Diceros bicornis minor: one gene and its partners. The protein of the gene in region 2 purifies or fractionates together with the protein of the main gene of each other region. This does not show direct contact. Links are inferred from orthologs where the notes say so. Each region holds a gene or a part of one and is shown on either strand. Other genes may lie near its edges.

Region 1 (7,655 bases), on a different chromosome or scaffold from region 2:
GATTCCCCTTCAGGGAAGCACTTGTTGCCCAACTGCTGGGAGACCTGTCAGCCCCCTAAGATCACCTCAGCTGCAGAGAGCTGTCTAGCAGAGGCTGTGCTCTTCCCAGGGCAGCCCACATCCAATGGCTGATTGAGGCGGGGCTATGAAGGCCCAGCCATTTCAAGCCAGCACCGGACCACAGAGCTCCCCAGGGGCTGGCTGAGGCTGTCATCAGGCCTGCCTCACAGTCTAACTACTCTCTGTGCCTCCTCCTGCTTCCTTCCTTCCCCTTCCACAGTGTTGAGCCCAAGGGCACTCCCTAATAAACATTCTTCACACTAACCTCTGTCATAGAGCCTGCCTCCCAAAGAACCCAACCTGTGACAACATTTAACCAAATAAATAAAAATAGAAAAGACATCAGGTAGGGGTATCATGGAAAAGGGTGAGGATACACAATAAAATGTTCATACCTATATGGGAGGCAAGGTAGCATTGACTCTGGAGCCAGGCTGCCTGGGTTTGAATCCCATCTCTGCCACCTCTTAGCTGTGTGTCCATGAGCATGTCTCTTAATCTCTCCATGCCTCGGTTTTCTCATCTGTAAAATGGGGATAATAAGAGTACATATCTCACTGTGCTGTAATGAGGAGTAAGCCAATGTGGGTAAAGCAGTTACATAAGGCTTACAATATGTCAAGCACTGTTCTAAGTGTTCGGTAAATAAGATAAAATAAAATAAACACCTATGAGGTCCAGAGGGACATTGGGCTAGGACTCCTCCCTAGACTCCAGGCACAGGTGTGGTGTGGGCCAGAGCATGTTAAAGCACGAGTGTTGACAGAAATAGGCCCAAGCAGGGCTAGCCTGGGCAATGTCATGGGCGTGTGCCTCGTGTGGGTGCTGGGCTGCTCCCTCCCAGCCGGTCCAGCTGCACACATTGCCAGTTACACCCACGTATCCATATATATATGCTGAGCTGGGGGAAGCCCATACTAGCCATACCCGCTGTGTGACCTGCTTTTCCTGAACCTCCTTTGGTGGAGGGAGGCACCTGAGGCCTGGGATGCTGGCTCAGAAGTCCCAGGAGGAAATGGGGCCCTGTTTCCTGATTAAGGGCCCGGCAGCAGACTGACAATATGAGCTCCTGTTGGCAGGGATTTCTGGAGCCCCTGGGGGCCCGGCTCCGGAGGCAAAAGCAAAAGCAAAAGCAAGGAAGTATGGGCTGCATGTCGGGAAGCTCTTAGAAAATGGAGAAACAGAGATTTTAAAAGGGCATCACGGCCTGCAGGCTGCCCAACTCGGCACAAGAAGCTAAACGAGGGCTGTAGCACTTAGGAGGGGACCTCCTGGAAAGATGGACAAGACCACATAAGCACAGAGGGGCCCCCACCTGTCTTCCTGGCCTCATCACCTCCCATGCTCCCCCTCACTTAGCAAACTAACCTTCTTTCTATTCCTAAACTCACTAAGTTCTTGCTGGCCTCAGGGCCTTTGTACATGCTGTTACCTCTGTCTGGAAAGTACTTTCCTCCAACCCACCTCTGATAATTCACCTGGCCATCTACTCACATCCTTTAGGCCTCTGCTGAGTCCTGGAGAAGTCTTCCTTGTCTACTAGATCTGAAGGAGGTCTCCTTAAAGTTTTATCTCATGGCCCTCTGTTCTTTTCCTCTGTAGCCCCCATCAAAATTGTCCCTACATCACAGAGTGTTTATCTGTTTAATGTCTATGAATTCCTGGAGTGCTGATGCTGGGTTTCCCTCATTCTCCCAACTCACGGCACCAATGTCTAGCACAGGGATGTTCAGAGGCCACAGACAGGGGCAGCATCACTTTAAGCCCAAGCCAGCCCAACCCACACTCTATGAGCATACACATTCTGCTGAGTTCCCTGTGCCCAGGGCCAGCCATGCCTAGGGCCTCCCCCACCCATCCTGATTAGCCAGCTAGCCTCCGTGCCCACTGGCTATGGACCGCCAGGACCTATTTAAGCCAGTGGCTCTCTTGTGAGGCAGAAAATGCATGGAGTCAGACAGACTTGGGTTCAAATCCCCATTTATTAGTTATGTGGCCTCAGAGCAAGTTGTGGATCTTCTCTGAATCTCAGTTTCCTCATCAGTAAATTGGGGACAATAATCCCTAATTAGAGGGTAATTATGAGGATCAGGTGTGACCACATGTGTACGCATTATAAGCACTGGGTCAACTTTAGTTACCTCCCTCCCACTTTAAAGGCCCGTCACTAGGTGGCAGACCATCTCAGCCACTCCACCTCCCCTTAGGTGGCTGAAGCCTATTAGCACAAGCATCTCAACTTGAGGCTGAATTCTCAGCCTCTTAGGGGCCACACTTGAGGGAATCAAAACATACACACACAAGTTACCACTACATCAACACAAAGCCAGAGGCAGCCCCAGACACTAGTCACCACCCAGCTGGGTAGAGTGCCTGAGCACACACTCACATACTCACAAACTCCAGGAAACCTGGATCTTCCTCTGGCATCAGCTGGGGGCTCTGCCGGGCTTCTCTCCTCTGAAATGAGGTAAGCTGTCCTGCTCTGCCTGGCTCAACATCTGTCAGCCAGGTTCCACTGTGACCGCAGGTGTTTTCGGTTTTGGCGGTGCGGGGCAGCCAGATTGCAAGGGCGAGTCTAAAGAATGGCTTCAGGAAGACAAAGAGTGTGAATCATTCAAATAAGCATAAAAAGGACTTGTGGCTGGAGAGTGGAGAGTGAAGGGGAGGTGGTGAGAGATGAAGTGGGGGAGAGAGAAAGGAGAGAGAAAAGGGCCAGACCATACAGGACTGGCTGGGCCAGGAAGGGAGTGTGGATTTTATGTGCAATGGGAAGTCACAAAAGGGTTGAGGACAGAGGTAGGGGATCATGATTTAGTTTCATTTTAAAGATTAAAGCATGGAGAACAGATGCAGGCAAGGCCAAGGGTAAACAGACCAGGTGAGAAAAGATGGGCCTTGGGCTTGTGGGTGTAGTAGATACCTGAGGGTAGAGTGACCTAGACTTGATGGACTGCTGTGGGGTTGAGGCAGAGAGAGGAATCAAGGATATGTCCAAACGGTTTTGGCCTAAGCACCTTACAGGAGTTTATGCCGTGTTCTGAGAAAGCAAAGACTGTGGGAGGCGCAGTTGGAGGAGGGAGGTGAGATGAGTGTGTTAAGTGGGGACGTGGAGCAGGCAGTGGGATGCAGGGGAAATACAGATCTGGCGCTCCAGGTGCCTGGGTTGGGGGTGAAGCCATGGGAAAGGTCAGGTCGCCTTGGGAACTGGCTCAGGACCCAGCCCAGAGGAAGAGAAGCTTCTGAGGCCGAAAGGCAGCGGCCAGAGAGGGAGGAGGAAAACAAGGGGAGTCAGGCCAGGAAAACAAAAGCTCCGCAGATCATTTGCAAGGGGGGGCGCGGTGAGGTAAGGCCTGAGCCCGCGCCCTGCCGCGTGGAGACAGGGCGGGAGGTGGGCGGGCAGTGGCCCCTGCGAGGGGCAGAGAGGAAGGTCGCCGGGGGCCGCAGGTCTAAAGGCCCTGCAGGCGATGCTCAGGCCGAATGACGGGACCCTCCAAAGCTACACAGGCCAAAAGCGCTGGACAGACGCGGGTCCCGCCGTCGCAGGAGCGGCCTGCGGTCCAGCCCTGCGGGACCAGAGAGGAGGGGCAAGACAGGCCTGCTGTCCATCAGAGCCCGCCGGCCAATCCGCAGGCAGCCCCGCCCCCGCCCCTCCCCTGAGAGGGCGCGCGGAGGACCCGCCGCCGCCGCCGCCGCCGCCGCCGCCGCCGCCGCGGGTGTGAGGCGGCCCGGCCTGGCCTGGGTCCCTCCGCCGGGCAGCCCGCCCAGGTAATTAGGTTTGGCCGGCGGGCCCGGGGGTAGCTCCGCATCCTCACCTCCTCCCGGTCGCGGCACGGGCGGCGCTCGGGAAGCGGGGCTGAGGAAACGGCTGCGGCTGGGCCTGTGCGGGACAGCGGAGTGGGCGGCCGCCTGTGCGTGTGCGACTGACTGCCGGGTCGGTGCGAGGCTGCCGCGCGTGGCGGGTCGGCAGTGGCCGCCAGGCCGTGTCCGGGGCCACGGGAGGGAGCCCCGCAGGACGGAGGTCGGGCTGGTGGCCCGCCGGCGGCGCGCGCGCTCCCGCCGCCATTGCGCCCCGGGCCTGTCCGGGGGGTCGCGGGGCGCAGGCGCGGCGGGCGGCGGGCGGGGGTCCTCCCCACGGGCGTGCGGGCGCCTTTGTTCCCGGCGCGCGGGCCGGGGCGGGGCCTGCGGGGCCGGCCCGCCCCCCACTCAGGCCCGCCCCGTCTCCGCCCGCAGGAGCCGCCGCCGGGGCCCGCTCGCCAGCCGCCTGAGCCGTCGCCGCCGCCGGCTCCCCCCTGCCCGGCCTGCGCCGCCGCCCCCCGCGCCGGAGCCATGGCGGGCGCCGCGTCCCCCTGCGCCAACGGCTGCGGGCCCGGCGCGCCCTCGGACGCCGAGGTGCTGCACCTCTGCCGCAGCCTCGAGGTGGGCACCGTCATGACTTTGTTCTACTCCAAGAAGTCGCAGCGGCCCGAGCGGAAGACCTTCCAGGTCAAGCTGGAGACGCGGCAGATCACGTGGAGCCGCGGCGCGGACAAGATCGAGGGGGCCAGTAAGTGCGCCCCGTCCCCGGGGCCCGCTGCGCGCGCGGGGGCGGTAGGGGTCGGCGCCCGGCTCCCGCGCGCCCCGGCCGGCCGGCCGCTGGAGTGACTTGGGCAAACTTTCAGGCCCTCCCCGCACCCTCCGGGTCCCGCCCCCGCCGCGGCCCCGGTGGTCACCGGGGGCGGGGGGCATCCGGGTCTTCAGTCACCTGACAGGACGCCCCCCTCCCCCAGCTCGGGGGAGTGTTCCAGGCGCTTTGCCCAGAAGCCTCAAGATCCTAGCGGGTTGGAGAGCAGTGGGGCAGGCATCGGGTCCCCCACACCCCGGGAGTGGTGTCCGCCGAGGCGAGGGGAGCCAAGGCAGCATCCCCCACCCAGGCCCAGGACTTGGGCCAGACCGGACGATCACCGCCCACCACCCTTTCTCCAAAAAGTGCAGTTTTGGTGAAAGCCGCTGGGACCCCGGGCTGGGCTCTTATTTGCAAAGGAACCTTTGGGTCACCGAAGTAGAACTTAGGCAGATGTTGAGGTAGGGCTGGTTTTGGAGCAGAGCCGGGCCTACTCGTCCCCCTCTGGTTTGGAGAAGCCTGAGAGAAGACAGTGGCAGCTTTTTCCCGCTGCTGCTTTTGTCCTGAAGCTGAATTTTGGAGGTCTGTGTGGGTGGGCAGAGACACCCAAAGCCAGTGCAGGGACTCTTGGTCAAGGGACCAGGCTCCCCGTACGCTTGGAGCTTGGTCCCAGAAAGGCCAGCCTCTGTGCTATATGGAATCAGATGCTCTTTTCAAGAGCTCGCAGCCTGTTTGGGGTCTAGCCCTTTGTGTCCTGCGTCCCCTGGCTGCAGGGAGCCGGGAGCGGCTACTCTTGATTTCCTGCCTCTTTGCCTTCCCAGGCCTGAGCTTGCTTGCCTTTGTGCAGGTCTCAGTTGGGAGGAGGGAGTTGGGGGATTTTGAAAAGCCCCATATATTTCAGAGTGTTACTCCACTTAGCTTGTGTCTGTGCCATGACCAGATGGGCACCCAGCTTTGCCCTCCATTCCTCAGCCTCCAGGTGTGAGAGATGATGTGTCTGCAACCCCACACTGTGGGTTGCTTCCTGCAGGGACCCCCAGAGACTGGTGTTAGAGCCAGGCTCAGAACTAGGTCCACGTGGAGGAAGGAGGGTCAGGAAGCGACACCCCCAAGGGAAGCTCCTACAGACCTCCTTGGGTATGGTGTACATGCACACAGATGGTTGAGGAGATTAGGAGGAAGGAAGGTCTTGTGGTGAGGCAGCCGTCCTCAACTACAAACTCCAGATCTGACACAGTTGCTGAACTTAGAAATGGCAGCTGCCCTCCTCCATGCCCCCATCGCCCTGTCAGCCATTTGGAGAAAATTTTAGTGATTTGAGAAACTGGATTCCGAAGTGGAGGAAGACAGACACTGCAGAGAGCTGAGATAGTCCCGGGAACATCACCCAGGCATCAGACTCCAGGCATGGCCCCTTGCTTCTGTGGTGCTCCCTGTGCTCTGCTGAATTGGTGTCACTGGTTCCCAGTTATTGGCTGGAGGTTCCCAGGTAGAGATCTCCTGGGTAACAGGCTGCATTTCAGACCAGGTGCGTGACCAGCAGCTAATAAGTGCAGCACAGTGGTTGAAGGCAAGGCTGGATTTGAAGCCCATATATTAGTTGTGTGTCCCCGGCCAGTTACTTACCTTCTCTGAGCCTTAGTTTCCTCAACTGTAAAATGGGAGTAATATATCGACTGTATATGGTTGTTCTGGGCATTAAATGAGAAAATTGATGTAACAGGTAAATAGCACAGTGCCTGACACGTTGTAAATGTTTAATAAATATGAGCTGTTATTAATAATAACAGTAACAGTAGTAGACTGTGGCTGCCCTCCTAGACCCTGGACTGGGAATGTTGAGGGAGTTGGAGAGTGGCTGTCGGAGCGGGTGAGGGTGCAGGAAGGGAGGAGGATGGGGACCAAGTTCATATTTCACTTAGATCACTACCCGGAAAAGGGGAGGAAATGGTTTTGTTTTGCCCCAACCCATCTACTCACCCATCCACCCACCATGGAGAACAGTGTATAGAGTAAGTATATGGAGATGTACACATCTGACTTCTGGCTGTGACTTTCTTATTTGTATGTTGGGGCCTGAACAGAAGGAAGGGGTGTGGAAAGGGAAGAGTTTAATCCATGGTGTCTCAGGTCTTTGGGGGATGGAGGTAGGAATGCAGAGGACCTGATGACCCCAGTCCCCAAGGGTGGGTCAGCCAGAGGGGTACAAATTCAGTGGTCTCATCAGTTAGCTGGGATTTGAGAGGCCTGGAGCGTAGGCACAGGGCATAGAAGGTGCCTTGGCCCTTTGATTTTGGAGGCCTGGATTGAAGGAGTCTGGTAAAAAGGCTCTTAGGTGCTTATGTGCAGCACAGACCTTGGAGATGGAGCCTCCCACTGAGCTGCCCTACTTTGCCCCTTCATGAGCACACGTCGTTGGTGCTTCTGATCCCAGCAGCCACCCTCTGCGGGCTCTGAGGAAGGTTGGGCTGCCAGCTGGGTCCCCTGCCACCTAGCCCCTTGCCCAGGTGCCTCAGGTGCCTGGCCTTTTCCTGCTGACCCTGCCAGGGTACCACACAGTGCCTGTAGCCTGACCAAAGAGAGAGACACTTCTGCTACCCTCAGGGTGTCCGTGGCCCTGAAAGAGAGCCAGTGTGATGCAGTGGGCGTGCACAGCACTCGTGTATAGTCCTCGTTCTGGCGTAACTCTCAGCCCGCTCACTTTACCACTTGTGAAATGGGGCTGGCAGCTGCTAATTTCTAGGCAGGTAGTTTGGCTCAAAAGAGGGGTGGGGAAGTGCTTTGGTGCCCGTTGTCATGGTGGCGTGACAGGAACCAGGTTGATGTTTGGCTTTTTATGTTGCAGATACTGACATAAATGAATACAAACCAGTTATAGACTTCCTGCTGTGTGCTTCTGAAACTTCACCACTTTTTCTTGGCTAATTCTCACAGGGGTCCTGGGGGGTGGTCCCAAGTACCATCCCATTTTACAGATGAGGAAATGGAAATG
Region 2 (8,489 bases):
TAGCCTTTTAATGGCAGAATCCTGGCTCTTTCTGAAACCAGCATTGCTAGATGTGTCAAATGATGCATAAGGGCTTCGTCCAGCTGCCAAGTGGACTGAGCTGCTGAGGGAGGACTTGGGATGCTCATAGTGCTTCCCTACTGCCAGTGGGAGAGCAGCTCTTGGAGCACACTCCTTTCTACATGAAACTCTCCCACTCAGCAGCTTCAACTCCTTATCTAAGGCTTGACTGGAATATATTCTTCAAATGCACTAAGCGTGGGACTCTTTAGAGACATCCACTGATAACTTCACGCTACCTGCTTGTATACAGTAGGCAAGTTCAGGGCTGCAGAAAAGACCCCTTTTTCCTGTCACCAACATCTGACAATAGCTGATATAGACTACTGGGACCTATGGTCATTTAACAAGAGATGATGGGAAAGCTCCAGAGATGCTCATAGACATGAAAGTGAAAGAAAATCTGCATTTTTAGAGAAGTCATTTTTATATCCATTACAAAAACATTAGGCACTAAAAGAGAATGTTGCATGTATAAACCACAGAAGCCACAATGACTTTAAAGCACTGCTGTTCTTTACAAAAGTATCTGTGGTGAGACAACAGTATTGGTCTCCTATCTCAGCTCACAGAAGGCACTATTAAACTCATCAGACCCTGCCTCTTACTATGGACTAATATAAATTCAAACATTGAACACAAAGGGGTCATTTTAGAGGCCAATGCCACTAATGCCAATGCTGAAATATGCATCCATACTCTGTTTTCCTTGGGGACCACATACCAGTATGTGTTCTGTGCAATGGCTGAGGAACCTCAGCTTCTGAATATCTCTCCTGCATGAGAGTATTGGGTGTATGTGGGAATGTGTGTGTGTGTTGGGACAAGCATGGGAGATACTTGTAGCTCTACAATGGGCCTTTTTCAATGCTTTCCATCCAATTAATACTAGACATTAGTAACCAGTGGAGCATAAGAATTTCATTTATTTCTGGCGATGAGAATGATAGAAAAGAAACTGGGTTTGCTCAATGGAATTAGTGTAGGCTTTTAAAAGGCATGATTTCTTTTCTGTGCTGTCTCCTTCATTTACATTGTATATTTCATTCACAAGTCTTTCCCCAGTGGTCTTACAAGAGAAATATCCATTGAAAACCACCTGGATTTCCAGTCAAAGGATACTATGGGAAGAGTTAGAAGTAAGTGCCTGTACACACACCCCCAACTCAGTGAATATGAGAAGAAAATGAGAAGGAGATGAAACAGAAACCTCATTTCAGGAGTCTCCAGCAGAGAGATCTGCAGTGAAACAGGCCTGCCAGAGACTGTCATCCAGAGCTGCTGCTGCAGACATTCAAGCTAAGAATTGGAGGGAAGGGAGGGGGCAGGGGAAGAAAGGCAGGGAAATCAACTATTGTCTCTCCCTGGCTTCACAGTAACTCCCCGAAAGCAAGACAATCTTGGCAACTTAGCCCCCTCTCTCCACATCTCCCTCCAGTCCCCTGCCCCTTAGTTCCTCTGGGGTTCTCTCAACGACATCTGAGAGGAAGAACAAGAGTCTGAGAATGGATAGCAGACTGGGGTGGAGGGGTGGGCAGAATGAATTAATGAAGCAGAGGCAATCCCTAGGTAAGCCAGCATTTGGAGGGGACAGCTGAGTAGGATTCAAAATATGAAGAGGAATTCTATATTCCCTGAGAAAGTGTACCAAATTCCCCAAATCTGTGCTGACAGAAAAGAGGAATAGGAGGAGGGAAGAAGGGCAATAGTTTTGAGATCTAGAACTAAGCTTGGAACATCGAAGTAATAGGGGCATTTCAACTGTCCCAGGGGCCCTGGAACAAGGAAACCCAGTTTTGGCTGGGACCTTGTATAAGTCGGTAGAAGGAGGCATTCTGCAATTCTGCCAGGAAACTTTTCTCCCAACTTGGTTGCTGGAGAGGAAGGAAGACCCTGGGGACTGACTGCGTTCGGGGAGAAAATATGATCTAACTGGGGGAGAAGGTTTGCGAAAGAGGGAAAGAGGGCTAAGAACCAGAGGCTGAGGTTTTGGAAACGGGGGTTAGTTGATAGTGATTGCAAATTGATGTGACTAAAAATCAAATCCCGACACGCTCATGCGAGAGCTGCTCACCGGTCCCAAAGATCTGGAAGAGAAGGCGGGGCTGGGAAGCACGGATCGCCGCGGACAGCCTTCCCTCTCTGCCCACTTCCGACGCCTTCTTCTCAGGCATCAGGCGGATCCTCAGCCGCCCTTCGCCGTGGCGAATCCACCAGCTGAACAGCTCGCTGAGGTTGAATTGGAGCAGCCCCGCAGCAGCCTCCTCTGGGGGCCCGGCGCAGCCCTCAAGGATCGCCGCCTCTCCCAGCTCCAGCACCAGCTGCTTAGCGCGCCGGAGCTTGCGAACGGAGCCGCCCTTCAGCACCCTGGACAGCGTCCGTGCCGGGGCCGGGGCAGGCGAGCCGGAGACCCCCGGCCGTGGCCCCAGCAGCCTAAGCAGTGGGGCGCAGTCGAGAGCCAGCGAGCCGCGCGCCTCCAGCCGGCCGGCCCTCGGCTCCGAGGAGGACGGCGGCGGCAGCAGCAGGTCCCGGGCATAGACGCGGAAGAGCGAGGGCACCACGAAGTCCACGGCCAGGCTCTTCCTCTGCAGGCGCGAGTAGCTGAGCGGCTCCCGGGGCTGCAGCGCCGGCCCCACGGCTGGTGAGCCCACGAGCTGGCCGATTCCGGTCCCCGTCCCGGTCCCGGAGCCCGAAGCTGCCGCTGGAAGCAGCGGTAGCAGCAGCCATAGGAGTCCTATAGCTCCCATCCCGCCAGAGGAGGGTTGCTTATACTAGTCTCCTGACTCTCCGGGATCCAGCCTCGCCTTCGCTTCCCCCGAAATGGGAAGGGGCTCCTAACAGTCCTTGGTCCTGAATGGCTCCTTCCACCTGATCTCTGGGGGATTGTGCGTGCACTGGATTCTCTTGCTTTCCACCAATTGCAAGGAGGCGAGCAGGAGTCTCAATAAAGCGGGTCTGGAAGCTCAGGGGCGTGTCAAGAGACCCTGAAGCGCGAAGGGCTTCGCAGCTGGGACCCTGTGCCTTTCGCGCGCCGCGCCGAGAGCCGCGCCCCCGTCTGTGGCTCGCTGCGCTCTGGAAAGAGAGCAACTACTATGGTCGAAGGGAGGTGGCAATTGGGTAGCGTCCTGTCCCGCCCCCCGCGGCCTGAGCTGCGGTCTGTCCGCTCTCGAGCAGCCTCCAAGCCTCAGCAACTTTCCAGCTGGGAACGGCGGCTCCGAGCTGGTGTCTGCTGTCCTGGACGCCTCCTGCGCTCCTTTCCGTTCCTCTGAGCTCCTCTCTCTCGTCTGGGGAGGAACCGAGGGTACGGGCTGCTTTCTGGCGCACCCTCCTGCGACCTTCCGCAGCGGGGAGTCTTCGGACTGCACTGCTCGCTGAACTTCTGGGCCAGAATTGAACCCCCGCGCTGTGAAGCAGATGCTCAGGCCGCTGCCTCGCAAGTTTGCAGCGTCCTTGCTCTCCTCCCGCGTCTCGTCTCCTTAGAGTTCTCCGACACCAAAGCGGCCCCGGAGGCAGAAGCGGAACGAAAGCGGAAAGAGAAGCCGAAATCTCGCGGCCCCCTCCTCATCCATCGGCAGCCTCTGCGACTTCGGGTAGCTGGCCAGAGGGCGGCCAGAAGGCGGCCCGGTGCCCCGCGACCCTCCGGACAGCGGCGGCGGGAGGTGCCAGCTGCTACCGCCGTTGCCGCCCCCAGAGCCGCTCGATCGCATCTGCCTGGGTGCCCGCCACTTGCAGCTGGCGGAGCCGCGAGCGCGCGCTGGGAGGGGGCGGGGCCGCGGCCGCAGCGGGGGCGGGGCTCGAACGCCAACTCCGCGCCGCTGCCTGGCTCACGCAGGCCCGCCCCGCCCCGCTCGCACCCGCCAACCAATGGCGCGCCGAGGTCGGCTCCTATGCAAATCTGCAGAGGCCTTGGCATTCATTGAGAAAAGCACACAGCCCGCCCCGCCCTGCATCCCTCTCCCCTCTCTCCTTCCTTCCCCTCCTCCAGATTCCCTGCCCTATTTCTCCGCTGTGTGAACAGGAGCCTGTTTTGGATAAATGGGAGGCCTGCAAGGGGCCTTTGTAATCAACCACTCTTTCTAATTATGCATTTAGGAGATTAAATGGGTCCCACTTTGGAAAAGCGGGTTATGGAATAAAACTGGTGGCGAGGGGAAGGGAGGAGGGGCAGCACGACATTGCCAAATCCCAGAACAGCTTGGATTAGGGCCCTGAGACAGAATCTTCTCTAACCCTTCCACTATTTGAAAGCATTCCTGGGAACCTGGTGGTCCCACCATCTACGCAAGAAAAGTTGGCAGGGTGAGAGTGTGGAGCGGCCGCGATCTGGCAGAGTTCTTCAGCTACAACTAATATATTTCAGACCTTTCAGTCACCCTGCGTTTTCTCAGAATGGTGCTTGAACATGTATCCTTTAGTCTCTGCAATGTAAGTATTTGAAATTCCAGTTTTAGAGATGAGAAATATGAGTCACAGAGATCTTAATTGATTTTCCTTGGGTCACATAGTCATATGTGCCTCCCAAGCCCTTACTCATGTGCTCTCACCACTGCTCTGCTATATCTCTCCACTAGCGAGAGGCCAAGAAGATCTCGTGGTGACTTACCTAGAAGGGATAATGATCAGACACTCTTGCTCATAGCCTTGGGAGTAAGAGGTCAGAACTGCAGGCCTTTTTTAACTCACCTGTGAAGTAAGGACTGTAACTCTGGTCTCTCTTTCCCTTCATCTCTCATGAGCTGCCAACACAGAACTCAGACAATGGCTGTGTTTATAACAAGTGGTTCACTAGAACCTGAGACAAAACTACAATCTCTGGTTCACACAAATCCTTCCCTTCCTTCTTCTCAAAAGTTGATTGTCAGGCCTTGTGAAAACTGACAGAGCTAAAAATAAGGCAAGGTCCCCCCTTGAGGAGCTCAAAGCCTGGCAGGTAGCAGAAGAGCTTCGTCACAGAGTCGGAGCACAGAGCGGAGTTGAAGCTCCCTCAGTGAGCCGCAAAGGGCTGCAGTAACTTGCCCACCGCCCCACAGGAGGTGGTGGCCAAGCAGACCTCTGCTTTCCCAGGCTTGGCTCCTCTGAGCATTGTGCTATTGCCTTTGGCAGTTGGAAGACCTAATAACAAAAGAATATTGATTCTCAGAATGACTTGCTTCTGCCTCTATGTTTGACAACTCACTGAATTTGACAAGCAACTGGCCTCTCCTTGAAACTTAAACTGGATACACTGACTTCACAAGTTCAAGGACAAAGAATGATCTGACCCAAGTAGAAGAAATGATGCTCCTACCTTGGTGGAGGAAGGCGGGAGGGAGGGAGAATGAGAAAGAGAAGAGGAAAGAAAGGGTGTGGAGATGAACACTTCCCTAGTATGTGAGCATATATGTTTGCATTTTCATTTCGCTGGCATGCACACTGGTGGAAGAATAATCTTCTATTTGAAATACTAAAAGTACTAAAATGCAGGCTGTTGCACTCCCCACTCCATCTCTTACTTCTGTATATAATTCTTATCCAAAGTCAAATTGACTCTAGTAATTTATCAATAACTATAAATTTTCTGCTATAATCAATGGCCACTAGGGGGCTGCAGAGACTTGAAACTTCAGATGAGCTGCCAGGGTTTAACATTCTCCCAGATAACATCCATGACCATTTACCTTTGCACCTAGTGGACACATGGGTCTCAATTAATTCTCATACTTTTATAAATTCTCTCAAATTTCCCCCAAGGAAGGACAAGTGCTTCTCCCTGTAGATTAAATCACACCTAATCTCAAAAATGTTGTTCCCTTTTTGTTAATTTAAAAAAGGAGGCAGGAACAAATATTGATAGACTCTATTGGTTACTATACTTATGTATCTGTAGGAGTGTGTGCCTGTGTGTGTGTACATGTTTGTGTATCACATCACACAGTGGCCTTTTGGAGGAAGATATATATTATTATTTCCATTAAAGAGACAAAACAGTTAAGGCTCAGAAAGGCAAAATAATTTGCCCATGGTCAAACAGCAAGTAAATAACAAAATTGGAATTCGAACCAATGATTCTTTTCCTCCAAAATTTACATGTCCCACTGGAATGAATTAGGCTTTTTCCTTATGCCTACAGCTATAATTTTGACACCTCTATCCTATATCGTTGCCATCTAGAGGATGGGAGATAAGAAAGTATAGATGAGAATGTGCAGAAGATGGGAAAGAGCAAGTGGGGCAAACAGAGATAGAAAGATAAAAAGTGTGAGCATAAGTGATAGCTAACACGTCTTGTGCACTTATTATGGACCAGCATATTTCAAAATAATTCTCATGCATTATCTCATTTAATATTCACATTAACACTCTGAGGGGAAGTAATAATATCTCTATTTTACAGATTACAAATGGAATGGCCCAGAGAGGGCAACTTCCCAACAACAAGACCACACAGGTGACAAGATCTGTTACACGATTTGAACCTGGATATCTGACTAAGAAGTCCATGCTCTCAAATCCTGGGCAACCTCATAAGACAAAAAACGGAGTGGGTGGAATAGGCTGAGATGGGCAGCGGTGAACAGAGGAAGAAATTGAAAGCCTGACTCAAAAAGAGACACACAGAGGGTGGGAGTGGCGGGGAGAACAGACAGGAGATACTGGGAGCCCCGAGGACACAGCTAATAAGGTGAGCTGCTCTGGGTCACCTTGGCAATGACTTGGGCAGTTAAGTTGAGGAGGGAGGAAAATGAGAAGACCAGGTACCAAGAGAGGAAAGGGTCAAGGTGGATGCTGAGAGCAGCAAGACCCACCTCAGGAAATCCCCCACTTCTGGAAAGGGAGAAGTGGACCACTCAGTTAAGGAGGGGTCTGAATTCTCTATAGGGGAAGCAGTAATATAAACGGCATTTCAAATCCAAGCAGTATGACTTAAGGCAAAACACATCTCAGAACTGCAAAATCTGACTGAGACCTAGATGATTAATTAAGTCAGGCATTCAGTTGGTCAAGAAAAAGGAGGAGGGGGAGGAGAAAAGGGAGAGAAAGAAGGAAAAGAGGAAGACGAGCAGGAGAAAGAGGAAGGAGAAGGAAGAGAAAAAAGACAAGAGAACAATCAGTAAGTGAAGCTGAAGTAAGGCATGAGAAGATGCTTACTGCTAAGACATTGGAAACCCACAACCAGCGTAGCTTACCCAGGGCCAAGAGCAGGAATTGGGACCCACAAGAAACATTCCAATGAACTGGGGATTTGGGTTCAGGAAAGTGGATTTCAATCACAGCCTTGCCTCTCAGAGGCTCTATGACTTTGGGAAAACCCTTGGCTCCTCTGGGCTCATGTATCAAATTAGAAGGACCAGATATAGTCTTTAAGACACATGTCCACTCTGAAATTCTGTGTGAGATTCTCCAAGTGACTAAAAGCTCTCGTCCAAGACTGGGGACAGGAACTAGAAGGAGACTATGAACTTTCAGGGGAACCAGGAAAAGAACTTGGACCTATCACTGGCCAGAGGAAAAATAAAACAAAACAAAAACTCCTTTGAGAAAATGTCTCTGCCACTAGACAAACCTGAGCTCTGAATCTATAGTCTGCAGTCTTCTAATAATCATCATGCTAAGAAGAAAGCAAAGTTATTAATTCAACCATTATTTATTAGGCACCTACTGTATGCTTGGCTTTCCATAAGGTGTGGAGGGGAGATACTGTGGTGAACAAAACAGTCAAGGTTCTTACCATCATGAGGCCTTGATAAAATTAAATGAAAAAAACCCAGAATACAAAATTGAATTCATGCCTATCTTACAGTTAAGCAAAAATTACAAATACAAAAAAAAAAAAAAACATAACCAGAGGAAAACATTGAAAAATAGACTTACTGGGGTGGCAGAATTGTGGGTGATTTTTTTTCTTTATACAAATGACTTTTAATGGTTTTATATAATAATAGAATTTGATTCCTACAAAGAAAATTTATCAGTCAGGATAGCCAGGTTACGTTGTAATAATAAAAAACCACCCTCAAATCTCAATAACTCAAAAACAATAAAATATATTCTTCTCATAGTCCATATCCACTTCGGGTGAGCAGAGGGCTCTGATCATCATAATCATTTAGGGATCCAGGCTGATGGAGCCGCCACTATAGTAAACTTGGAGGGTCTTGCACCAAGAACTAAATACTCCAGCCTGGAAAGGGCACTTGTCATTTCCACTCACAGCTCTTGCTGGAAATATCCATGTGGTCCTACCCTATCATGAAGGGCCCACAAGGTAGAGAGTTAGAAATGTCTAGCAAACAACTTCATTGACTCCCAAGGAAGGAGAAAACCTGCAAGTGTTGCATTAGATAACTTAGACCAGGAGGGGTCTAGCAGACTAGAGATACCCGGAGGAAAATGACCTTATTCCCCTGGGATCCCAGTCACCAACAGATAGCACAGCCTCTCAGTCTGTG
Region 3 (7,514 bases), on a different chromosome or scaffold from region 2:
CATTCCAGCAAATTTCAGGTTACTCCTCCCCAGGATGGAGCTGAGCGGGCGGCTACAGGGCTAGGGAAGGGCCCAAGGGTCTTAGAAGCTGGGGGTTCCCAACACCAAGAGACCACCACAATCCTGCCCCCCACCTGCTTTCCCCTGCTCCTCCACATCTCCCAGCAGCACCGCTAGCCCATCGACCCCAGGTACCTTTCTCCTCCTTGTGGCCCCCTTAGCACCCGGCACAGCCTCACACACCAGACTGATGGCCTCCCTGGGGAAAGAGGGGTACTCAGACCCAGGCTTGCCTCCACTTGGCTGGGGCTGCCCCAGGGCTGGGGGAGGGGAAGACCAGGCCAGACTCCCAGGGCACTCCAGGCTCTCTGTCGTGGTGGATTGAATTAAGGGCCTTTAATATTTGATGACACTGAGAGGCCGCTTCCTGGCTGATTGGGTTAGGGCCTCAATGGGTATGGCCCCACCCCTTTCCAGCTACCAAATGTCCCATTCCCTTCCCAAAGGCAGCAGCAACCTTCCATCTACCCCCATTTTCTACTCAAGCTCCAGCTGCCAGCTGCCTCTGCCACCTCCCCCACAGCTCCCCAGGCTGGATAAGTAAGGAGGATCCAGGCCAGAGTTGCCTCTTTTCATTCAGACTTAGACTTACTCCCCTAACTTTCTCTCACTCCCCTTTACCACCCTAAGATAAGCCATCACTAGCACCACCACCAAGTGACCCACTTCCCACCTCCCCGCACTAATCCCAGGACTTCCATAATCCGCCCCCCCCCGCCCCCCACTAACCTGGTGACCTGAGTCCGGGTGTTGAAGTCTAGGGCACGCATTGACTGCAGGACCTCCACACAGCCCATGTACTGAGGGGACGGATGGGAGGATAACAAGTCAGCCGCCTCCCCCCAACCCCTTCAAAGGGCCCTAGGACTTTCCCCTACGTTGTCCCTAAGGGAAGTAAAGATGAAGTTCTGCCCACTGCCCGTGGCTACATCCCACAACATGCAAGACAACAGGGAATGAGGGGAAAAGGAAAGGGCAGGCTAGGAGGACCTCATGCATCTGGGAAGAGAATTTGGAGGGGAGTGACAGGCATTAGGTGGGATGGAGTGACATCTCCAGAAAGGGGGAGGAGACTGGAGGGGACAATCAAGAGTCACTCATTCCAACACTTACTAAGGCCTTCAATGTGCTGGGCATTGTGCTAAGCATGGCAGGGCGGGGGTGGGAGAGTCACAAGAAGGAAGGGGGCCCAGGCAGAGCTGGAAAGGAAGGGACTACAGAATTGGAGGAGGGGCAAGAAAGGTTTAACAAACAGGACACTGAAACCAAGGGAGTTGTTGGGGGAGAGCAGGAAAAAAAGACTCCAGCTTTGCTGAAGTGAGCAGAGGAACTGCAGGGGTCTGGGAGGGAGTAGGAGGGAAGATGTTCACTCACCCGAACCAAGTAGGAAACCCCCGGTCCCATGACTTTGTCGTTGGGATGCAGCCAGCCCCGCGTGGGCTTATTGACAAAGCTCCCGTGGCGGGTCCACTCCTCGCCCCCCAGCTGGCCCCCTTCCACCCGAGTCCTGCGCCCGCCGCCTCCACTCAGCTTGTTCATGTCCTGGAGGAGGGGCAGGGGGCCTGAGTCCGGCATGGCTGCCCCTAAGATCCCCTCCCCATCCTCGGCTGCCCTTCCTGGCTCCCCCTTGGGCCCCGGGCGCCCCCCAGCCGGATTGGCCAGCTTCAAGTTGCTCATCCGGGGGAAGAAGGAGCACAGGGTAGTGGGACTATCGTCTCCAGGCAGAGGTGGCAGGATGGGCCCCAGGGATGAGGCTGATGGGGAAGGCAGCTCCTCCGGTGGGGTGGACCCTGAAGCCCCCTCCTCCAGCGATGACAGAGACTCATTCCGAAGTGGGTTGTACTTGGGCTTGGGGGGCAGGAGATCCATGGCTGGAGTGAGAGGGAGGCTGCTGCCCAGCCCGGCCCCCCTGCCAGTCAGGGCAAGGGGGCCAGGCAGGGGGCATCCCCAGGCCTTTAGCCTGATCGGACCTCTATGGCCCAGAGATCTCAGGGGTCCTGGGAAGGGAGAGGGACGAGTGGCTCTGGCTCCCCCGCTCAGACCCAGACAGTTTCAGGCCCCATCTATGCCCAGCGTGGAGCCTCTTCTCTGGCTGAGAGGAGAGAGACCAGGCTGGACCTAGAGCTGCCTGGCTCCTCCCCAGGGGCGGGGAGCTAAGGGGAGAGACCAATCCCGAGGACAGTGCTGACTCACAGGCTCCGAGGGGCTGAGCCCCCACCAGTGCCCCAACCTAGAACCCTTGCAGGGGTAGAACTCTCCATGCCCCCCTGCCCCATACAAACAATTAGTAATCTGGGGAGGAGTAAAGTGGGAGTGGGTGTGGGAGGGAAGGACGGAGGAGTGAAAGGAAAGGAGGGAGATAAGAGGAGGTCTAGATCAATCCAAACCGGACATGGGCAGGCCAAAGGGAGCAGGAAGCTGAGGGAGGGTAGAGGGGAATGAGGGAGGAAACAGAGACAGCTGGGGGTGGAAAAGGGAGGGGATCCCTGAGCTCAGCATTTCCCTTCCTATCCTGGTTGAACACTCAAATTCCCCCATCCTCCAGCCCAGGCCACCCCCCACCACTACCACACAGTGGGGTGGTGGCCCCAGGGAGCCTGGGCCATTAGCATCCTCTGTTACAACAGCTGTGGACTGGAGCTAAAGAAACGGGAAAGGAAGGAAGTGGTCCCAGCGGATGCAGAGGGGCCAAGAGGAAGGGCAAAGCTGGTGAAGTAAGGAAAATAACATCCAACCTGGGCGGTGCATCAGGGAGCCACCAGGCAGGAGCTGGAGCAGAGGACAGGCTGAGGGAGCCTTGTTCTCTATGCATGGCACCTACCATGCCAAGGAGCAGCGGCCCACGGCCAAGCACTCTTCTGTCCCTCCTTTCCACAAGCCTCATTAGCAAAGCAAGCTGTCAAGGGTAGAAGGGAGGTGGGGGGGTGGGCAGGGCACTGACACTAAGCTCAGCTCCCTGGACTTGCCAGGTATGCTCACACTCCTCCTGTAGTGTGACTGGGGAGGGTGCAGGTGTCCACCATAGAGCACAGTGCCCCTCACATCAGGGGCAGGATCTGGCCAGAGGAGGTGGGAAAGTGAAACAGTTCTCCAAGAGAAGTGGGTGCTACAGGCCATGAAGGGATAGAGGGGACAGAAGACAAATCTATGCTAAGTACGGGAGAAAAGGGTGACAGGAGAAGATGGGCTGATGCTGGACACAGGGAACAGTCCCAAACTCATTCCTTCCACCCACACTTCCTGCCACAGCTCTGCTTCAAGGGGCCATGGAGGAAGTTGGAAAGTAACCAAAAAATAAATAGTAAAAAATACATTTACCTCCCAGGCTCACCTCGGAATTACTCTACTCTTAGATTTACTTCAGAAGATAAAAATTCACAAATAATCATAAGATTATAGTGATTGCCACTACTAGCACTTAAAACGTGTTAGACACTGTGCTAAACTCTTTCAGCTCCCCTTGGTCCTCATCCAAGGAGAGTTTTGTCACTCCATCTACCACTCCTGAGAAGGAATTCTATCACTGCTTTTCCTAAGGCCTCTGCGCTCAGGGACAGAGAGAATGAAGAAAGGATTCTGCCATAGGCTCACACCCTCAACTCACACACACCAGGATGTCCTCATCTTTAGAGATTGGCGTTCTGTGGGAGCCTGCAGGATCTAGAGGCAGGGAATGGCCAACAGGTGTGGGTATTTGGAAGAAAAGAAAGAGGAAGTAGGGCTCCTAACATTTGCATAGGAAAAAAGGAGATTGCCTACTGGGAGTCCCAGTGATTGGGTGAGGGGCAGAAGCTGCGTGTGGCTTCTCAGCCCAGCAGGGAGGAGGAGGCAAGAGCAGTGGGAAGTAGCAGGAAATGGCGAAAGCCTCAGGAATGTTTCCAGAAGGGAAGGCTGGGTAAGCGGGACCAGGAGGAATGCCCAGACAATAACTCTGGTTAGGAGAAGGGGAAGAGCCAGAGAAGTGGTGGGGGCTGAGGAGTCCCTTAAAAGAATCAAACAGCAAAAAAGGACACTGTCCCCTACACCCACTCCAAGCTACCGTTTTCTGGTGGTAGAAAACTTTCGCTCCCGTCACACACCAGCAAATCCATGGCCCCACCCAGCTCCCGAGGTACAGGTATGAGACACAGCTGTTTCTGGGGTGGAGTCAGTCCTGGGAAGGGAAACTCAGAGTGGGGCTGGGAATCTATGAGCAAGTCTCTCTCCCACTCTCTTGCCAAACCCCAAGTCCAGCCCCCTTCAAGTAGGTCCAGCCTTGGAAGGGGGTAAGGGAGAGGAAAACGGCTGCCTCTAATCTCGCACTCCTCAGAGCCAGCGTTGGGAACTTTGACTTCCCACGCGGTGGAGCATGAGAGCTCAGGAAACTGAGCCCAATGCCCAAAAGAGAAACAGGTGGAGCTTCTGGGATTGAAGACAAAGCTTCTAAGGCGTGACCTGGGTCCCACAGGGATAAAGCTCCTGAGGGGGCGTGGTCCCCTAGCACGCGTGCATCAGACACTTCTAGGAGACGAGGCTTCTGGACAATCAGATGTAGATTGAGGAAGGGGCGGGGCTTCTAGAGGGGCGGCGCCCATAGGGAGGCGTGGCTTCACGAATTCGAATACAGTAGTTCTGTGAGGGGCAGGGTTTTGCGCTTTTGGGAGATAGGCTTTTTGATAGGAGTTAGCGGAGAATCGTCGCGAGGAGGCGGAGTTTCGGGGAGTTGGAAGGACTAACGTAAGGCTTCTTGTAGTAGGCCTTGGAAGCGTGTCTGGGGGTGGGACTTCCAGGAAAACTGGGTGACAGGGTGGGGTCCGAGACAATAAATATAAAACAAGTGGGGATTCGGGGAGCCCCCTGAAGTTGGGAGGTGGGACTTCCGGAGAGGGGGTCTTGGGGGCGGGACTTATAGATGAAGACCGGAAGTAGGGTCCCCGGAGAGGGGTTCCGGGGTGGAGGAGTGGGTCATCAAAAGAGAAAAAAAAGTCCCAACTCACCAGGGCCTCATGGAGTCTCCGCACCGCACCGCGGGCAGATTTGGTGCCGGATCACGCCACTGCCTCTTTAGGTCGCCGCTCCAACTTTCTCCCCGGGCCTGGCCTCCCTGGAGAAACTTTATTGCACTCACTTCCGGCCTCACTAACCCCTGACCCTCTACCTCACCGTCCCTCCTTCACCCGTCCCACTTTCCCGAATCAGCCAATGGCAGCGCGAGAACGCGCACGGGAGCAGCGACAGCCAATAAGAGGCCTATTTTTGAGCTACGCTCGTTCTTGAGAAACGTAAGAAGTGCACTCCAATAAGGACTCGAGGAGAAGCAAATCCAAGCCAATCGGAGGCTTGAAGGTGGACTTGTCCCGCCTTAAGCCAAAGGGGCCAATAGGAAGCGCGAGCGGCGTGTTTGAAAGCGAGGCCAAGGAGGGTGGGAGCGCGTGCTGCTGGGAGTTGTTTGGAGGTTGGCGGCGCGGAGCTGGCGGTCTTCAGGCAGAGTGATCATGTCGCACAAACAAATTTACTATTCGGACAAATACGACGACGAGGAGTTCGAATACCGGTTAGTGCTGGCGGGGGGCCATAACGAGGTCGTGAGTTTTGACAAATGAGGACCCAAGGAGTTAGTAACAGGGACTGAAGCGACAGAATCGGCGCATGCGCGGAGGTTAACGGGACGGGCGTGATAGTTGAGAGCGTAAGGCGCATGCGCGAAGGGTGGGCGGTGATTGTAAAAGAAACAAAGTGGTAGTGAATTTGGAGTCGACCCTGTTGGGAGGAGGTGTAGGTGGGCGTGGTTAGAGTGTTAGCTTGCTGACCACCTTCACCTTTGCGGGTTTCTGGAACCTTCAACTTTATTGAGCAAGTTGAACTTGCCCTGACTGCTCGTATCACGGCAACACCATAGAACCTTAGAGCCTACTGGGAAAAGGTGGCAAAGGCGGAGCTCGAATTTTCCTCGCGTCTTCAATGCGAGGGGAGTTCTGAGAGAGCCTGAGTGCTGCTCATTAATTCATGGAAAAGGGACGTAGTTGTCTGGCTTGTTTTAGGAAAGGAGCTTGGAGGAATTGGAGTGGAATAAAACTGGCCAGGAACATTGAAAAAAGACTTAACATGAACCTAATACATGCCCTTCAAATATTTGAAGGGCATCTATTTAGGAAACAATTATGGAGTGCTTATAGGTTTCAGGTGTTCTGCTAAAGTGCAAGGGTAAGCCATGGTCTCTGCTTTCAACAAACCTACAAATCTGTGAAATACTGACAGACTTCAGAAAAAAGTGATAATTGGTATGATAGAGATGGGAGCACCTATGGTAGAGATAGGACTTGGCCAAGGATGGTGAAGAAAGGAATCCCTATGGAGTTTGCATTTGATAAATCCTAAATCCATAATTCTAGATTGGAAAATTAGAGAAGACAAAAATTCTAGAAATGTTGTCATTCCACTAACCTGTATTAGGTGTAATACTTTAAACAACTTCCTAGTTTGTATCTTCTCAACTGAAGAACATAGAATGGAAATTGCTTTTCTTGTGTTTCTTCTCCAACATAATGCAGGGAGAACTCGGTGTGTGCTGACAGATACATAACCATCTTTATGCCAGGTCCTTGGGAAAAGACCCCAGGCTCTGCTTGGATCCAGTTAACTGTCTTCCTCAGCTGTTTTCCTCTACATCTGAGCTAAGCTAACTAAAACTGCCTATAACATCTTTGCAGGACTAGGGAGAAGTCACTAGTTTGATCCTCTGGAAGATGTAAGTCTTGGCAGTGGTATTTTGGCTTAAGAAAGTTGTTTTCTGTTTTGTTTTTTTTTTCCCCTTGGTCTAATTAGGTATTGAAGCCAAACTTTGTGCCAGGGGCTTGTTAGAATATAAGCTATTTTCAGACATTTAGACTAGAATTATCTCTTTGGAAAAATGTCTGTTACTAGCACAGAGAGTGCATTTAGTAAATTTTCACTGAGCGTGATGAAGTTGATCTGGGTTAGCCTGATTGAAGTCAGGGTAATAATTTCTTTGCCATGAAAGAAGACTTATCTTGGTTGGGGGAACATGGAGTTTCCCAAAAGACGTCTCATGGCACATCCCTTCAGAGTTAGGAAAATGAGATTCAGGATATATTTTAAAGGATAAGACATTTGTGTTTCATCCTTTGTGATGGCTGTTCCACACAGCACTCCATAATAGGCCTTTCTTGTCCACAAAATCACCTCTCTCCCCTCCTTACCAATCCTGTTCCAAACCACCTTTAATAATTAATAGTGTGTGTGCTGTGGGGCTCCCATTATATTGTTTTAGGGTAATCAACTGGAAGACTGTAAGCCCTGAGAAGGCAGAGGCAGTGTATCAACATGCCTGGAACTCAGGTGCTTGTTCACTTGGGTTATTCATTAGGTTGTACTTGTTAATATACTTTTGTGAGGATTTACATAACTTGGCCTTTACTTCTAGCTGCCTCTACCCCACAATAAGATTATATAAA

What was found.
Region 1: the proteins of ALK (region 2) and PLCG1 purify together in Homo sapiens (affinity purification with western blotting; 3 studies listed by BioGRID, with this or other methods). This does not show direct contact. The link is inferred for Diceros bicornis minor from reciprocal best matches to the Homo sapiens genes ALK and PLCG1.
Region 3: the proteins of ALK (region 2) and SHC1 purify together in Homo sapiens (affinity purification with mass spectrometry; 3 studies listed by BioGRID and IntAct, with this or other methods). This does not show direct contact. The link is inferred for Diceros bicornis minor from reciprocal best matches to the Homo sapiens genes ALK and SHC1.

The regions. Positions count from the first base shown.
Region 1 is NC_080758.1:19,442,741-19,450,395, reverse strand, and holds the start of PLCG1 (1-phosphatidylinositol 4,5-bisphosphate phosphodiesterase gamma-1), read left to right. Parts: upstream 1-4,293; 5' UTR 4,294-4,389; coding exon 4,390-4,606; intron 4,607-7,655. UniProt on the Homo sapiens protein: Mediates the production of the second messenger molecules diacylglycerol (DAG) and inositol 1,4,5-trisphosphate (IP3). Plays an important role in the regulation of intracellular signaling cascades.
Region 2 is NC_080751.1:53,198,937-53,207,425, reverse strand, and holds the start of ALK (ALK tyrosine kinase receptor), read right to left. Parts: upstream 3,581-8,489; 5' UTR 2,808-3,580; coding exon 2,135-2,807; intron 1-2,134. UniProt on the Homo sapiens protein: Neuronal receptor tyrosine kinase that is essentially and transiently expressed in specific regions of the central and peripheral nervous systems and plays an important role in the genesis and differentiation of the nervous system.
Region 3 is NC_080743.1:58,916,704-58,924,217, forward strand, and holds the start of SHC1 (SHC-transforming protein 1), read right to left. Parts: upstream 3,363-7,514; 5' UTR 1,930-3,362; coding exon 1,435-1,929; intron 861-1,434; coding exon 790-860; intron 260-789; coding exon 196-259; intron 61-195; coding exon 1-60. Other genes in the region: CKS1B (cyclin-dependent kinases regulatory subunit 1), read left to right, coding at 5,535-5,593. UniProt on the Homo sapiens protein: Signaling adapter that couples activated growth factor receptors to signaling pathways. Participates in a signaling cascade initiated by activated KIT and KITLG/SCF.